2 linked regions of the Oryctolagus cuniculus genome follow. The protein of the gene in region 2 purifies or fractionates together with the protein of the main gene of each other region. This does not show direct contact. Links are inferred from orthologs where the notes say so. Each region holds a gene or a part of one and is shown on either strand. Other genes may lie near its edges.

Region 1 (3,652 bases), on a different chromosome or scaffold from region 2:
ACATGCTCGTAGCGCTATGAGCTGACTGCCTGGTCGATCCCTGGGTATCAGACACTTTTCTGCCAGGACTCTGGCTATAAAATCACACAGGTTTTGAGGATTCTTGCTTTTCCCTTATGCCCTATGGCCTCTATTGTGTAATTCTGCAGAATGCAAGGATTTTAAGAAACTCATGTTGAAAGTTACAGCAGAAAGGCCCATTTTAACTTCTGGATTATCAATATCCCCCTGTAAATGCAATGCTTACCAAGTTCGTTTTCCCAGAGCACCTTCCGTATGCTTCTCCATAAAAGTTGAGCCAGTCTAAGAGTTCATCCACTACGAACACTTCTTCAGGCACAAGACACTTAGTCTGATTTACCTGAAATAAAATGTGACTTATGAGAAAGTTTCATATTTAATGACAATTTTTCTCAAAGAATATTAGGTTATCAGAGGAAAACAGTAAATTAAACACTTTTAGTGACCAGAATAAAATTCTGTTCAACACCTCCTCCACTGCCAAAACCCCAAATTTCCATGGATATTAAAGAATACCTAAGATTCAATAAGGGAGACTAATGATAAAATGATAAACTTCTAGATACTCTCAATTCATATGAAAACTTCAGAGAATTTTAAGTCCAAGGGACAAAAATCAACATAATATGAATCCAAAGTACCTCAGGGCCTAATTCTTTTTTTTTTACTTTTATTTATTAAATATAAATTTTGAAAGTACAACTTTTGGATTATAGTGGCTTTTCCCCCCATAACCTCCCTCCCACCCGCAAACCATCCCATCCCCTACTTCCTCTCCCATCCCATTCTTCATTAATATTCATTTTTAATTATCTTTATATATAGAAGATCAACTTAGTATTTACTAAGTAAAGATTTCAACAGATTGCACCCACACAGACACACAAAATATAAAGTATTGAATACTAGTTTTACCGTTAATTCACAAAGTACAACACACTAAGGAGAGAGATCCTACATGGGGAGTAAGTGCACAGTGACTCCTGTTGTTAATTTAACAATTGACACTCTTTTTTTTTTTTTCCAGGCAGAGTTAGACAGTGAGAGAGAGAGAGAGACAAAGCGAGAGACAGAGAGAGAGAGACAGAGAGAAAGGTCTTCCTTCCATTAGTTCACCCCACAAATGGCCACTACGGCTGGAGCACTGCGCTGATCCAAAGCCAGGAGCCAGGTGCTTCCTCCTGGTCTCCCATGCGGGTGCAGGGCCCAAGCACTTGGGCCATCCTCCACTACCTTCCCAGGCCACAGCAGAAAGCTGGACTGGAAGAGGAGTAACTGGGACAGAATCCAGCGCCCCAACCGGGACTAGAACCAGGGGTGCCGGCGCCACAGGTGAAGGATTAGCCTAGCGAGCCGTGGCGCTGGCCATAATTGACACTCTTATTTATAATGTCAGTAATCACCCGAGGCTCTTGTCATGAGCTGCCAAGGCTATGGAAGCCTCGAGTTCACAAACTCCGACCTTATTTATACAAGACCATAATCATAGTGGAAGAAATTTCCTCCCTTCAGAGAAAGGTACCTCCTTCTTTGATGGCCCGTTTTTTCCACTGGGATCTCACTCACAGAGATCTTTGATTTAGGTCATTTTTTTTGCCACAGTGTCTTGGCTTTCCATAGGGCCTAATTCTTTATGGTTTGTTCTTCAGAGCTTAACAAACTACCACTTATAGACGTCCTCTCTGCTTAGTTACTCACGGAACATTCCTTCAATGAACTGTGGGAGCTTTTCAGCCCTCCGTCTCATGAGATGGATGGATTTGCTGTGACACATGAATACCCTGGCATCAGTCAGTAAAGGTCCTGAGTATTCATGAAACTAGACTTGGGACATCAAGTGACTACCAGGATTTGAGCTGGATATGGATACACCTGCCTGCCATTCTAATTCTCAGAAGGTTTTCTATAAACTTTTCTTCCCTGTGTACAATAAGACCAACAGTTTGTGATATTCCCAGTGGCTCTGCAACTCCAAATGATCCCTGCCTTCCAGTGGAACTACCAATTATGGTGAGGCTGTTTCACCCCTGTGGCAAGGGTCCTGCTGACCCTGGCCTTGCACTGCCATTAGGCTCAGAGTCCCCAAAATCACGAAATGGTGAGTGCAGTGGGTGCTTCGTCCTCATGTTCTCTTGTGGCCCCCTTCTGAGGTATGGGCTTTGATAAATATCAAATATTCTGTTAGGGTCAAAGGACAGAGCAGGATCCCCTGAAGAGCTCTTTGTGGCTGCATCAGCATTTCTCCCAACTCTCAAAGTGGCAAAAGCTCACTGGAATCTACTCTTCTTGAGCTCTTCCATAAATTTCTCAATTTTTCAAAACAAATTTTTTTTATTCTTCCTTCTCTTTTATACAAAACCTTCAATAACAGTCAAGCATAACCATTGCTTTTCAATAGTATGGTAGATTTTTTTCTTCAGTTGTGTGATAAATTAGGTGTCACATTACACTAAGAACTACTAGAATACAGGAAAGCTATCACTGGCATACTTAAGAAACTGCCAATTTTCTAAGTAGACATGGGATCATCAGGTCAAACACTAACTGAATGAAGGTGGCTTTACTGAAGAGCATCTGCCAAACCTAGTGAACTTGAACTTCAATTTTTCAGCGGAAAAAGAGACAATGTCCAGACTGTTCAAATTAGAGAAATAACAGGTACACCTACCCCCATCAACATGAGACCCAGGGGCCGGCATTGTGGTATAGTGGGTAAAGCCACCACCTGCAGTGCCGGCATCCTATATGGGTACCGGTTTGAGACCCAGCTGCTCCAGTTCCTATCCAGCTCTCTGCTATGGCCTGGGAAAGCAGCAGAAGATGACCCAAGTCCTTGGGACCCTGCACCCATGTGGAAGACCCGGAAGAAGCTACTGGCTCTTGGCTTCAGATCGGTTCAGCTCCAGCCATTGCGGCCAACTGGGGAGTGAACCAGCAGATGGAAGACCTCTCTCTCTCTCCTCCTCCTCCTCCTCCTCCTCCTCTCCTTTTCCCTCTCCCTCTCCTTCTCCCTCTGTGTAACTCTGACTTTCAAATAAATAAATAAATCTTAAAAAAAAAACTTACTTCTATATATGAGTTTGATGGTCAAGGAATCTAAGTAACTGTGTAATCGGCTGATGTGCATGAGGCAAATGGCCAATCCAGACAGTGGCTTTTTGATCCCAGGTTTGCCTCCAGCTCTTCAAAGAAGTGAGTTTCAGAAAAATAAATCATAATGGCTATCAGCTCCACTTAATCAGGAATGAGGCTTCTTATTTGGCAATACTACATATCGGACAGATCCAGTAATACTTAATGACTGTTTGACCAATGGCAATATTCATTTGCCAAGTCTTTCTTCTATTTTTCATGTTGGTAAACCAATGCTGTGTTGCAGGGCTGCTGTTTTCAAATTCATGCATTGGTTTTTCATAGCATAGTTTTTATGTACTTATTTTTATTAAAGCAATGAAAAAAATTCCATGTGGTTCATAGATACCATTCTAAGAATATAATACTTCTCCTCATATCTTCCTCCCTCCATGTATTCCATGAATTTTTAATACCCCCATGCATGAATTTAAAAGTGTATTTCACCAAATTAAGCTCATCTTAAATTTCATTTTCCATGACCTTTTTTTTTTTAAAA
Region 2 (3,249 bases):
ATGGTGGACGTGGGCGGTGAGACGGTGGACGTGGGCAGTGAGACAGTGGACATGGGCAGTGAGACTGTGGACATGGCAGTGAGACAGTGGATATGGGCAGTGAGACGGTGGACGTGGGCAGTGAGACTGTGGACATGGCAGTGAGACAGTGGATATGGGCAGTGAGACTGTGGACGTGGGCAGTGAGACGGTGGACATGGGCAGTGAGACAGTGGATGTAGGCAGTGAGACGGTGGATGTGGGCGGTGAGACGGTGGACGTGGGCAGTGAGACTGTGGACGTGGGCAGTGAGACGGTGGACGTGGGCAGTGAGACAGTGGACGTGGGCAGTGAGACGGTGGATGTGGGCGGTGAGACGGTGGACGTGGGCAGTGAGACGGTGGATGTGGGCAGTGAGACGGTGGATGTGGGCGGTGAGACGGTGGACGTGGGCAGTGAGACAATGGACATGGGCAGTGAGACTGTGGACGTGGCAGTGAGACAGTGGATATGGGCAGTGAGACTGTGGACGTGGGCAGTGAGAGTGCACGTGGGCAGTGAGACAGTGGATGTGGGCAGTGAGACTGTGCACGTGGGCAGTGAGACCGTGGACATGGAAGTGAGACAGTGGACGTGGGCAGTGAGACGGTGGACGTGGAAGTGAGACGGTGGACGCCTGCTCCCTTCACTAAGTGTCTGTGCTTTTTCTCTGACAGCTCAGCGGAGATGGTGCCCCAGGGAGTTCTGGGCCGGGGAGGCAGGGTCAGGGTTGATACTCAGAATCATGGCGGGCACACTTTGCTTTTCCATTCTTAAAAATTTCATTCACTTATTTATTTATTTAAATACCTCATTTTTATTTAGTCTCAGCCAACTTTGGTGTGTGCTGTTTGTGACAGCAGAAACTTGGGAACAACCTCGACTGGCCGTCCGGGGCTGGTGGGGCTGCACTCCTGGCCATCAGTCCCGTCCCGTCTCGGGAGCTCGGCCACGCGCTGGTGCCTGTCGGCAAAGGAGGCGGTTGATGACCTGCTGCTCCACAGGCGGTGAAAATGGCGAGAGCTCTTGTTTTGTTTTTTAGGTGAAATTCATGTAAAAGACATTAAAATGTTTGTTTATTTTATTTGAAGACAGGGAGAGAGCTGTTTCCCTCCACTGGTTCACACACCAAATGCCCACAAGAGCCAGGGCTGGGCTTGGCTGAAGCCGGGAGACAGGAGCTCTTCCTGGGTCTCCCTTGTGGGTGCAGGGGCCCAGGTACCTGAGCCGGGCACCAGCAGGGAGCTGGCACTGGAGGTGGCGTCAGGACTTGAAGCAGGCGTTCCTGTGTGGGCATCTCCACTGCTCCCTTTTAAATTGTGGTTTTTTTCATTGTTGAACTTGTAAGAATTCTCTACGCCCACAGAGACCCTTATCAGACACATGTGCAAACATTCTGAGTTCACTTCGAAAGGCAGCAAAATACACTTGGTCTTTCATTGAGAAACAACCTGACCAGAGGCCACGTCCTGAGCCCACGGAGGTCTCCGTGGGGGGGGGGGGGCTGGGACTGTTGGCGTCCTATGTAGTTCTGGAAGTGACCGCCGTGACGTTTCCTGGCCTCATCAATTTTGCAATCTGGCAAATGGAAACCGAAAGTCTCCAGTCCCCAGCCCACGTCCCTGTGAGCGCTGAGTGTCCTGCTGAGGACTCCGGGTGCTGGTGCTGGGCATTGCTGGGCACGGCTAGGCAGGCTGCCGGGGCACTGTGGGGGCCCCTTGCCGTGCCCCCACCCCTGGAGCTGTGCCAGCTCACATCGTCTTTCTGTTTTGTTTCTCCTACTCCCTCTGGGGCTCGCCCTGGGAAAAGGAAACCAAAACCAAAGCCTGCTTGGCCCCGGCACCAGCTGGGCGGCAGCACCGCCCCCTGACGTCCGCAGCCGAGGCCCATAAATGGGCTGAGGCTGGCCGGGAACGCGCTAGAGGCTGAGGGGCAGCGGCATTGCCAGGGACTGAGCAGCACCCAGAAGCAGCCACGGCCATGGTAAGCCGGGACGCGCGGTGTCGGGGGGCGCGTGGTCCGGCCGGTTTTCCTCCCCCTCGTCTGTCTGGTGGGGTTTCCCAGGGTGGGGACAGGAGGGGCGCATCGGCGGACGCAGGGGGCTGCACCTGCGGCTGGCGCCTGGTGTGCGGACCCAGGCCTGGCGCCGGTCTCTGAGCCCTGGTGATGCCCACAGGGGAAGGACCTGAAGGTGAAGATGCTGGGCAGCAAAGAGATCTCAGTGCCCCTGAGCGAGTCCCTGACGGCGTCGGAGCTGAAGCGGCGGATCGCCCAGGAGACTGGCGTGCCGGCCTTCCAGCAGCTCCTGGCTGTGCACCCCGGGGGGGCGGCGCTGCTGGAGGAGGTCCCCCTGGTCGCCCAGGGCCTGGGGCCGGGAAGCACGGTGCTGCTGCTGGTGCAGAAGTGTGACAACCCGCTGAGCATCCTGGTGCGCAATGACAGGGGCCGCAGCAGCGCCTACGAGGTGCTGCTCACCCAGACGGTGGCCCAGCTCAAGCTGCAGGTGGCCCAGCGGGAGGGCCTGCAGCCGGACCTGTTCTGGCTGAGCTTCGAGAACAGGCCCATGGAGGACCAGCACCTGCTGGGGGAGTACGGCCTCCAGCCGCAGTGCACCGTGTACCTGAACCTCCGCCTGCGGGGCGGATCTGCCGGGACCCGGCCCTGCTAATAAACAGAAGTAGCTGCCTCCCGGGTCCCCTCTCTGCCCATCACCCCTCCTGTGTCCCCAATTCTGCAGCCCTGTGGGGGCGGTCTGGTTGCCAAGTTATGGGACAAGGGCTTCATGGTAGGGTCATGACAGGGACAGCCTCACATAGGAAAGTCACGTGTGCCAGAGCTGACCTGGCCAGGCTGAGCCAGGCAGCCCCTCACTGCTCACCCCACAAGCTCCGGGGGTGGGGGGGCGGGAGCAGGGCGGCAGCTCTGCTCAGGGCCCATTGGCCACAGGGCAGGCCCCACCCCCAGAGTCCCTGGAACCAGTGAGGTGGGGAGAGGTCCACACCCCATGGGGCAGGGGGCCAGGAACCTTCTGGACTGCCCAGTCCTGCCTGCCTTGGTCCTGGGAGGTGTAGGGCGGGGCCTGAGCACTCACCATCAGGGTTCACATCACCCCCTCAGGAGAGTGTGGACAGTGCATGAGGGCACCTGGATCTGGGACTCACCTGCCCTGATGGGGCTTGGGGGTGGGCGGCAGCTAATTAGGCAGAAGCCACAGGGGACGCTCCCGGCGCC

What was found.
Region 1: the proteins of ISG15 (region 2) and HERC5 purify together in Homo sapiens (affinity purification with western blotting; 3 studies listed by BioGRID, with this or other methods). This does not show direct contact. The link is inferred for Oryctolagus cuniculus from reciprocal best matches to the Homo sapiens genes ISG15 and HERC5.

The regions. Positions count from the first base shown.
Region 1 is NC_091439.1:77,182,865-77,186,516, forward strand, and holds part of HERC5 (E3 ISG15--protein ligase HERC5), read right to left. Parts: intron 362-3,652; coding exon 248-361; intron 1-247.
Region 2 is NC_091438.1:164,356,613-164,359,861, reverse strand, and holds ISG15 (ubiquitin-like protein ISG15), read left to right. Parts: upstream 1-1,346; 5' UTR 1,347-1,998; coding exon 1,999-2,001; intron 2,002-2,194; coding exon 2,195-2,686; 3' UTR 2,687-2,704; downstream 2,705-3,249.